Linked DNA regions of Coturnix japonica. Each later gene encodes a partner of the first gene's protein in a complex. Links are inferred from orthologs where the notes say so. Each region holds a gene or a part of one and is shown in the gene's direction. Other genes may lie near its edges.

Region 1 (5,413 bases):
CCGTGTGGGATCCATCCCATCCTCCCCATTGTGCGGCTGCAGAGAACGGGAACGTGGCTGTTTTCTCCCCGGACGAGCTGTGGGTCGTGGCAGGACATGGGCAGCCCTTTGGGCTGTATCTGCAGCCTGACAAAACATCTCTGCCCCTGGAAAGGCGAGGGGATAAAGCCCCGTTGTGATCCTGTTGGGTCCCGTGATATTACAAGCCAACGGGAATGTCCTCATTATTTCCCCAATATTGAAGTCTAATAAATCCCCGGCTGCCTTACAGGATTTATTTATCCGTTCATTGCTAGGAGACTCAGTGCCGTGTAATCCTATTGCTGCTGCGGGGGGCGGGAGGCAGCTTTCCCAAGGATGGAGCCGCGAGGAAGCAGCCAAAAGCCAGAAGCCAAAAGCTGTGTGGGTCCGTGTGGGTCCATGTGGGTCCGTGTGGGTCCGTGTGGGTCCATGCGGGGCCTCTGCTCCACCGGGCAGCTTCAGCCCCACGCAGGGCACAGTGCCACCCCTCCCACATGTGATGGTCCCACAGAGCTGTGCCCCACTGTGTGCTGGGCTCACTGACATGTCATGGGATCATTGAATCGCAGAATGGTTCGAGTGGGAAGGATCCTAAAGGCGTCCTGCACTGAGCAGGGACACTCACAGCTCCATCAGTGCTCACAGCCCCATTCTCTGACCTTGGCTGTGTGCAGGGATGGGGCAGCACCAGCTCTGTGTGCAGCCTGTGCCACTGCCTCACCGCCCTGACTGTAAAGAACCTCTAACTTAGCTCCGGTCTGAAGCTCCCTCTGTTAGTTTGAAGCCATTTCTTGTGCCGTCAGTGAGCAGCCCGTCCCCATACACACGGCACACAGCTCCGGGGTCCCGCAGCCTTTAGTTTCCGTTTGGGCACCGACCTCCCGGGGCTGCTGCAGCACGGGGCGCTCCCCCGGGCACGTCCCGGCTGTGTTGCCGCCCGTTGAGGTGCCCGTGCCCGGGGCTGGCCCCGCAATCACCGCCGAGCGGAAGCCGCCGAGTTCCGCCTGCGGTCTGCGGACGATACCGCAGCTCCGCCGGCCCCGAGGGAGCGGACGAACGGCTGCGGGGCGGCATCGCGGGCTCGACGGGCAGCGCCCGACCGGCCTCGTGCCTCCCACGGGCAGGAAGAGCCCTACAAGGGCCGGGGAGCCCCGACGGGCGGCGATAGGACCGCGGCCCCGGCCCCGCGCCCCCCCCCCCCCCCCCCCCCCCCCCCCCCCCCCCCCCCCCCCCCCCCCCCCCCCCCCCCCCCCCCCCCCCCCCCCCCCCCCCCCCCCCCCCCCCCCCCGCTCCCCTCCCCTGCCGGCCCCCAGCGCGGCCCCGCTCCCTCCCGCTCCTCCCGCCGCAGCGCCGCCTCCCGTCGGTGCGTCGCGGCCCATGGGCGGGGCGGGGCGGTCGGGCCCGTGCTGGCACGGCGCTGGAATGATCCCTCCGGCGCGGCCGCCGCCGCCGCCACCGCCATCCCGGTTCCGGCCGCCCGCCGCGGGCCGCGCCTCTCGGACACGCAGTAGCGCCGCTCGTTGAGCGCCGCGGGGCCGCGCCCGCCAGGCGAAGATGAACTACCTGGTGAGCGGGGTCACCTTGCGGGACGGAGCGGGGGGCGGCGGGGGCGGGCGGATGGGGCCGGGCCGGGAGCGGCGGTCGGAGCGGATCCGTGATCAGCCGGGGACCGAGCGCCGGGAGCGGGGCCCGTCGGGTGGGGAAGGGCCGGACGGGGCCTCCGGGACCGAGCGCGGCCGTCACCGACCCGACCCGACCCAGCCCCCTCCGGCCACGGGGTCGGCGCTGCCCGCCCGGTCCGGGCACGGCTCGTCCCGCGGGGGGCGGGGGGCGCTGCCATTGCGGGGCTGCGCAGCGCTGCCGGCACCGCGGGATCCACCCGAGCGCGGCGGCAGGAGGAAGGACAGCGGGGGAGGGAGGGGGCACCGAGCGGGGCAACGCGGCATCACCGGCGGGACGGGCCGGCAGCGGGACGGACACACGGACACGGACACACACACGCGTGTCCCTGTGCCCGCCCGGCGGCCGGGGGGGAATTCTCGGTGCGGGCTGAGTCACCTCCATGGCACTTCCTCCCCGGCGGGAAGGGGAGGGAAAGGCAGAGGAGGTCCCCGACACCGGGAGGCGCGGGGGGTCCGGCCCCGTCCCGGCGCCGGCTCCGGGACGGGTGGGTTGAACCGGGACGAGGAGGAGCAGCGCCGGGGCCGCGTCGGGTGCCGGGCGCCCTTGGTGCCGCCGAGTCCATCCGCGATGAGTCCCGACCCGGCCCGTTGCGGGGCTCTCTTGCAGAACGTGCTGGCCAAAGCGCTGTACGACAATGTGGCCGAGTCCCCGGACGAGCTCTCCTTCCGCAAAGGCGACATCATGACGGTGCTGGAGCGCAACACGCAGGGCCTGGACGGCTGGTGGCTCTGCTCGCTGCACGGCCGGCAGGGCATCGTGCCGGGGAACCGCCTCAAGATCCTGGTGGGGATGTACGACAAGAAGCAGCAGCAGCAGCAGCAGGCGGCCGGGCCGGGGCAGGGCCAGGCACCGCCAGCACCACAGCCCACGTTGCCGTACCACCACCAAGGGGGGTACACGCCGCTGTCGCCCGCCTCGCAGTACACCGCCATGCACCCCTCCTACGCGCCACAAGGGGACAACGTCTACTTGATGCCGGTTCCTGGCAAGGGGCAGCAGGGCCTGTACTCGGGCTCGGCACCCGCTGGACAGTTTCCCCCGGCTCCGGCCAAGCAGCCCCCATCCTACCCCAAGCAAACGCCGCCCCACGGCTTCCCCAGCGCCGGGCAGGACATCTACCAGGTGCCGCCGTCCCTGAGCCAGGCGGTGGACGCTTTCCCTGCGGGCTCTGCCAGCCCCCCCCAGGACATTTACCAGGTCCCTCCCTCGGCTCAGGCTCAAGACATCTACCAAGTGCCCCCATCTTTGGATGCGAGGAGCTGGGAAGGGCCCAAGCCCTCTGGAAAGGTAGGATGGGGGTCCAGGTACGGCGGTGGGTTGATGCTGTGGGGCTCCAGTCTGTTGTGGGGTTATGGAGGGGGGGAGTGAAGCGCTTTTGGCTGAGATGAGCTGCGTTTCCCTGGAAGATCCAGTGGGAAAAAGGGGACACTGAGCACCGTGCCTCGTGGGCAGGGCACCCCATTGATTGCGAGCATCCCACAACCTCCTATGGCTGCCGCACCACATTGCACCGAGATGCGGGTGGGGGTCTGGGCTCGTCCTCCATCGCTGGGTCCCTCGGTGCCACAATTAACCTTCAGGTCTCCATTCTCATCGCACAGGGCGGCCGTGCGGCCGGGCTTTGTCTGTAGCCGAGGCTGGCTGCTATAAATAACCGGTGATCTCATCTCCGTCCCTCCAGCGTCACTGCACGGAGCGGTGACAGCTCCAGGCCGGACGGGGAGCGCCCTCGCGTGGGCACCCACCGCACGGTGCTCCCAGATGGGCTCGGGGGGCAGCAGCGGGGGGTGCGCCAGGCTCAGCCCTGCCCTCTCTCGTAGGTGCTGCTGCCCACCCGCGTGGGGCAGGCGTACGTCTATGACTCCCCCAAGGCTGAGAAGGATGAATACGACTTTCCCCGCCACCTGCTCTCCTCGGGCTCACAGGAGATCTACGATGTGCCACCTGCACGCGGTGCATTACCCAGCCAGGTCAGCAGGGATGTGGGGCTGCATGTGGGGCTGTGGGGTGATGGGCTGCAGGGATGCGGCACCCAGTGCTGGGCTGAGCCGTGGTCTCCACTGTGTGTGTGCTGGGGCCACTCTCCTGCCCCTCACACCATCCCATCTCTTCCCAGCAGGTCTATGACACTCCCCCCATGGCGGTCAAGGGTCCCAATGGGCAGGACCCAGGGCAGGAGATCTACGACGTGCCCCCCAGCGTGGAGAAGAACCTGCACCAAACCGTAAGTGCCGCAGGGGAAGCTCATGCACCAAAAGAGACACGTGAGGGTGGTGGTGCTGCAGGATTGCGCTGTGCACCTCTCCTTCCACGAGCCCACTGCACGCCCAGAGCTGTTCTTATGGGCACAGGGGAGCGGGGCTGGTGTGCATGTGTGTCTCCAGCTGCACTGACACTACGTGGTGGTGCCCTTGCAGGTATATGACGTGCCACCCTCCGTCAGCAAGGACGTGCCAGACGGCCCTGTGCGGGAGGAGACGTACGACGTGCCCCCCGCCTTCTCCAAGCAGAAAGCCTTCGAGCCCCCCCGCCACCCCCCGGTGCTCTCCCAGCAGGATTCCTACCTGCCAGAGGATGTCTACGACGTGCCACCAGCGGCTGGGAAAGCCGCCCCCGAGCCCTCGTTGTCCCACGAGATCTATGACGTGCCTCCCAGCCTCAAGAAGCTGGGGGGGTCGGCCTTCCCCTTGCAGGAGGTGTACGATGTGCCGCGGGACCTGCACGCCCCCAGCAAGGGCTCGATGGACATGGAGGGTGAGTACATCTACGATGTCCCACCACAGGTGGACCGCGAGGCCAAGGCAGCTGACACCAAGCGTCTCTCGGCCTCCAGCACGGGCAGCACCCGCAGCAACATCTCCACCTCCTCACTGGACACTGTGCCCGTAAAGGAGCCGGCCAAAGGAGCCGGCAGGGAGTTCTCCCTGGACTTGGATGCTGCCATGGAGATGCTGGCCAAGCTCCAGCTCGGCGTCAGCGGTGCCGTCTCCAGCCTCATGTCCTTCATCAGCACCAACTGGCGCAGCCCCGAGCACATGGAAGCCAATGCTGCCGGCATCCGCCTGGCAGCCGAGGGTGTTCAAACAGCCCTCAGGGAGCTGCTGGAGTTTGCCCGGGGGGCAGTGGGCAACGCTGCCCAGGCCTCGGACCGCTCACTGTACGCCAAGCTCAGCAAGCAGCTGCAGAAGATGGAGGAGGTCTACCAGGCCCTGGGGCGGCACAGCCAGGCGCTGGATGCATGTCACTGGGCTCCCAGTGCCTTGGTGGCTGGCAAACCGGGCACGGACGACTTGGAGCTGTTCGTCATGTACTCGCGTGGTGTGCCCGATGACACCAAGCAGCTCGCCTCCTTCCTGCATGGCAATGCTTCTCTGCTCTTCAAACGGACAAAGCCAGCGCCAGAGGGCAATGGCCACGGGCCCACGCACCCCTCTGACAAGGCCAGCAGCATCCAGTCACGGCCCCTGCCCTCCCCACCCAAGCTGCTGGCACAGGAGTCCCCCGAGGGTCCCTACGAGAACCACGAGAGCGGCTGGATGGAGGATTATGACTACGTGCACCTCCAGGTGGGTGCGGGCTGGGGGCACCCTGTGGGTGACGTGGGTGGGATTTCTGTCTCCTCATCTGGGTCTTGCTTTTCCCCTCCTGTTATGGCTGTAGGAACTGAGGGCATCCTGGTGCAGGGCTGGGGGGCTCCATCCTGATAGGG
Region 2 (4,968 bases), on another chromosome or scaffold:
GATTATGCTGGGTAACTCAGAGCCCAGAGGAAGCATTTCAAGTCTTGTCATGATCGCTGCTGATCTCGGTGCAGAGCCAGGGACTGTGATCGCTGAGTGGGGGTAAATGGAGAGAAGCAGAGGAGCTTCTTCTGGTTGTCAGAAGGCCACTGTGCAACAGCAGGGGATGTGCCCCACCACAGCATCGTGGTGAGCTGCTGCCAGAACAAGGGAGGGACAGGTGGGTGCCTGGCCTTCATGCAGGGATGCGGGAGGGGATGGAGGGCACTCCATCCCAGCCACAGAAACAGTTACAAGTGAAGCCCTAAGTGCTCACCTGGCCCTGCCAGATCCTTCACCATCTATTTGTGTCCAAGTGTGCCCAGCAAACACACACTGAAGTCCCCATGAATGACTGGAGCGCTTCCAGCTGACAGCCGCATCCCTGCTCGCCGCCAATGGCAGTGCACCCAGCCTGGGAAGCACTGACATCATTTCTGGCCAATAGCAGCTCTGAAAAGGGATGCAGCAGCAGCAGCCACCGCCGTCTCAGAGTGAGATAAGTAATATAGAGATGGATGGAAATGTGTGTACACACACACCCCATACCGCACCAGAGACCTGCTCCTCTAGGACAGCACTGCACCACCCCATAGCATGAGCAGGAGCAGCCGTCCTACCTTGCAGCATCCCAATGTACCCAGCCACCCCACCCCTGTCAGCCAGACATCACTGCTCCAGAGCTGCCACAAAGGAGACCCTTTGGATGGCTGGGACCACTCCTAAGAAAGGCTTTGTGCACCAGAACAGCTCCTCAGTCTGTGTGCTTTCATTGGGGAGCAGTGGAGACATGGCATAGCCAAGAGCTGCCTCCAGCAACCCATGAGATGGGCATGAGCCTTCTCAGAGTCTATTTAAACACCCAGAGTCATTGCAAGACAGTATGGAGGGAAAAACTATTTCTCTTCCATAGGGACATCAAGATCAGTGAGATTAACTGCATGCAGGTGAGGAGCAACCCCATGAATACCTGATTCTTCCCTTGCTCAGGGTGGGCTGTCCATCCTCAGGCACACAGGCAGGTCAGGCAGCACTGGGCAGACTGGTGAACACAGCAGCCTTTGCATCAGGCAAGTAGAGCAGTGCTCAGCTTTGCTATGGTGCTGGCTGCCGAAACAAGGATGTTTGTTTTAAAACCCCTTGCTGTGAAGTAGCCCATTGCCTGATGCAGGGCTAAGCAGAGAAGAAAGGCGCTTTGGTGACTCTGAGGCTTTGCCCATACACCTGCTCCAAGTGGCTTCCCTCCTAGTTCTGCTTCCCAGGCCCCACATCTGCTCCAGCAGCAGGAGTTGGGTGTTTGAAGAGCAACAGTAAGGTCTGGGATTTCCCCAGCAAGGGTCCCATTGTGGGGCAGGCAGCAGGAGAGTGAGAGCAGCTGCACGTTGTGCCCTGAGGATAACCAGGAGATGTTATCGCAGGGTGGGGTGGGTGCACATACACCTTGCTCTCCATGCTGACTTCAGCTGCTTCAGGTCCGGGAGGGGGGAGCTGGAAGCAGGCTGCAAATCACTCCTGTTTCATAAGAGCAGCTTTGCAAGGAGAAAAAGCCAAGTGCCAGATTTTGGAGCTTTGCTCACACCAGGCAGAGCCACTGTTTTACACAGAACACAGCTGTCAGCACCCTCCACCCCCCAGCTCTTGCCCTTTGGCTGCCAATTCTAGTCCATAGCTGCGATCAAAGGTGCTTCCTATGCCGAGAAAGCAGCAGGTAGAGGAAAAGAGGAGAGCAGGGATGGAGAACCCAGGGAATCCCCTCCTGTACCTGCAGACCATGAAGCAGCCTGCCTGCTGCTGGGTGTGATGGAGGAGCTCTCCTTTCACCAGCCACACCACCTTGGCTACTGGTTGGGATTCCTCAGGCAAAGTTTGGCACCATCTCTGGCAGCTCCTGAGCTGGTTTGGCTGGTTTGGGGAACCGCTCTCACCCCTGTTCCATCCCACTCAGCAGGAGGAAGCCTTAGGGCTCTGAGCAGGCAGCCAGCATAATATGCTTGAGCTGGGCGCTAGTGGAAGTCGGGGATTTTCTCCACAGCCAGCCCTCTAGCATGCAAGATCTCACATCAGGCTGAACATCTTTTGATGTCCTCTTGGCACAGCAGAGAGCACCAAGTGGTGCCCTTTTCAGCTTGGTGCTCACACATCCGCTTACACACTGCTGACAGCACCGGGCCGGCCGCCTTGTCGTGCCAGCTGGCAGCCACACACAGCCTCCTCCGAGACACAGCATGGAGCAGAGCAGCACGAAGCCAATGTAAAGCACGAGGACAGCCCCCAGAGTGCCAGCATACCAAAGAAGTGGGCTCTCCATGCATCGGGGTCCTGGTTGGAGTGGTTGCAGTCACCAAGCGATGGCTTTTTGATGGCTGTAAATGTTGGATTGGAGCTCATTTCCCAGCCAAGCAGCTGAAGGGACGATGCTTAGGGTCCTTCTGCTCACAGCTGTCCTCAGTGCCCCAACTCAGGGCACAAAGCCCTGTGTGCCTCTCCCCAGCTCAGCACCCAGCTCCTGGCACAGCTGCCAGCTGACTGCTGCCCAAATCCCGGCTTGGAGACACCGGGTACTGCTCAGCTGGGTTTGTGTTTGTTATCTTATGCATTTGCATGGGGAGGATTTGGGGGGAAACCCAGATGTACAGCATAGAGCAGAGCGGATGCTAATCCCCTTGCTGGGGGCGTTAGACCCCAGCTCCCATGCAGGCAGCAGCCCGGTGCTTGGGGACAGCAGTGCTGCAGCACAGGGCACCCATGGCCGCTCACACCAAGCAAAGTATTGTCATGGAAACGGCATCTGCTTCAGCCTCAGCCCCCCAAGATGCAGCCAGACTATAGCAGCGTTCACCGGCGACCACTTATTATCCATAGGGTTCAGCAGTGCCACATGGCTTTGTCTCCTCCAGGGCCCCAGGGCAGTGGAGGTGCTCAGGAATATGTGACCCGTGTGTCTCATCCCTGCAGCTCCAGCAAGCAGAACCCTCCTTTGGGGAGGAACTGAGGCCAGAGGAGCACTCAGGAGTTTATTCACTTTCACTTCCACTGTCTGAGTATTTATTTATTTCTTTAACTCGTTAGCAGTTTGGAAGGGAGGAACAGAGGCAGGTCCAGGCTGGTGAGGGCAAGCCTTGGAGAGTTTAGGCCACCACACTGTTGTTCCCCCACCTCCTCCTCCCACCTCCCCAGGCTGGAGCCTCGTCCCTGGGATTGCTGCCCAACTTGGCTGATATACACAGCTCCAGGCTGGGGAGGTTACCAGGCAGAGGGGACAAAAGCTGCTGAGGGACTCAGTGAGTCCCAGGAGTGGAGGGCACAGGCTGGGGGAGCAGCATTCTGTGCTACGAGAAGCATAGAGAGACCGGCTCAGGGCACAGGACAAGGTGCAAAGAGTCTGAGGCTGAAGCCCCTGGTGCTCCAGGAAACAATACAAAGGCAGCTTCAAGACCCGGCCTGTTCTCACAGACACCAGCGGTGCTACCCTAACAAGCACCATGGAGCCAAGGAGCTGGAGCCACTGAGCCACCTGAGCTCACACAAGCAATATCAGCATGGATGACAGCATGCATCAAAGGGGCTGCCAGCACAACAGGACACCCCAGTAGCTCCAGCCAAGCTGCTGTGCTAGTTGCACACACATCCCCCTCTGACACATGTCCTGCCCTCTGGGAATGCCCCCACCGTGGTGGCAGAGAGCAGTGGCCCGATGGAGAGGTGACGCAATCCTTATCTCTCCAGGGAAGGGGAGGAGGGGAAATTGCATCCTCCAGGCTCAGGTGCACCAGTGCTGGTAAGAGCTCATTTCGATGCAGAAGGTTTCCTTTACATTTGTCATTACTATTCATGCTGCTGTCAGGCTAAACACAGCTGAGTTAACCCTTTGGAGGGAGATGTCTCTAGGAGGAGGAACAACATGGGTTTCCTCCTGGAGAAGTGCTTCCCACAGCGTTTCAGCCCAGGATGTGCTGGGCAAGGAGCTGGGGCAGGCGTCCGTCCTCAGGGACAGGTCTGCTCCTGGTAGGTGACATCAGGAACGTCCCCCCCTGAGAGATCCCTGCAGTCCCAGCACATGGGACTCACCAGCACCCAAGGGACAGTCCTTCCCTTCCCAGTCCCTGCAGCCAGTGTACACAGTGGATGTGGAAGGTGCTGGCAGTGGGAAGGATAAGGGACAGCATCCCTTGGACCCTGCAGGGAAGTGGCTGTGCTGCTTATGGCAAAACCCCAGCTGATGGTTTCTCTCTTTGCTGTACAGTTCTCCAAGGAGAAATACATCCTTGACTCATCACCAGAGAAGCTTCACAAGGAGCTGGAAGAGGAGCTGAAGCTGAGCAGCACCGACCTGCGCAGCCACGCGTGGTACCACGGCCGCATCCCACGGGAGGTGAGGATGGGGAGGGGGGGCTGCCTGGGTTTGCCACAGGGAAACTCCTGAAACTCACAGCCATGATGAGGGGGATGCCCTAAATAACAGCCAGCGGGGCCGTGTCTGAGCCATTGCCCCATCCCCATCCAGGTCTCAGAGAGTCTCGTGCAGAGGAACGGCGACTTCCTCATCCGCGACTCGCTCACCAGTTTGGGTGACTACGTGCTGACGTGCCGCTGGCGCAATGAGCCCCTCCACTTCAAGATCAACAAGGTGACAGTGAAGTCCAGCGACGGCCGGAGCCGTGTCCAGTACCTCTTTGAGCAGGAGAGCTTTGACAACGTGCCCGCCCTCGTCCGCTTCTACGTGGGCAACCGCAAGGCCATCTCCGAACAGAGCGGGGCCATCGTCTACTGCCCCATCAACCGCACCTTCCCCCTGCGCTACCTGGAGGCCAGCTATGGGCTTGCCAATGGGAAACACGGGGGGTCCCACAGCCCGGCCTCCCAGAAGGGGGGGCACATCAAGAGGAGGAGCATCACCATGACAGATGGGCTGACGGCCGACAAGATCAC

Evidence for each region. Proteins that work in one complex are often made in the same cells at the same time.
Region 2: the proteins of BCAR1 (region 1) and SH2D3C are in contact, whole or in part, in a crystal structure (PDB 3T6G), measured with the Homo sapiens proteins. The link is inferred for Coturnix japonica from reciprocal best matches to the Homo sapiens genes BCAR1 and SH2D3C. Residues at the interface, in NP_055382.2 of Homo sapiens: Ser739, Gln742, Phe746, Tyr747, Gln750, Asn754, Val779, Ser782, Lys783, Ile786, Leu787, His790, Val793, Phe794, Ile795, Asp797, Thr798, Arg801, Gln802, Ser816, Asn817, Cys820, Leu823, Arg824, Val827, Lys831; in NP_733745.1 of Homo sapiens: Thr543, Val544, Pro545, Val547, Gly616, Val617, Arg618, Glu622, Thr625, Leu626, Pro627, His628, Leu749, Leu752, Leu753, His771, Gly772, Val773, Glu774, Val776, Leu777, Leu780, Glu781, Ala783, Arg784, Ala787, His788.

The regions. Positions count from the first base shown.
Region 1 is NC_029526.1:681,204-686,616, forward strand, and holds the start of BCAR1 (breast cancer anti-estrogen resistance protein 1), read left to right. Parts: upstream 1-1,606; 5' UTR 1,607-1,638; coding exon 1,639-2,991; intron 2,992-3,524; coding exon 3,525-3,674; intron 3,675-3,820; coding exon 3,821-3,928; intron 3,929-4,121; coding exon 4,122-5,270; intron 5,271-5,413. UniProt on the Homo sapiens protein: Docking protein which plays a central coordinating role for tyrosine kinase-based signaling related to cell adhesion. Implicated in induction of cell migration and cell branching. Involved in the BCAR3-mediated inhibition of TGFB signaling.
Region 2 is NC_029532.1:3,664,847-3,669,814, forward strand, and holds part of SH2D3C (SH2 domain-containing protein 3C), read left to right. Parts: intron 1-4,282; coding exon 4,283-4,411; intron 4,412-4,543; coding exon 4,544-4,968. UniProt on the Homo sapiens protein: Acts as an adapter protein that mediates cell signaling pathways involved in cellular functions such as cell adhesion and migration, tissue organization, and the regulation of the immune response.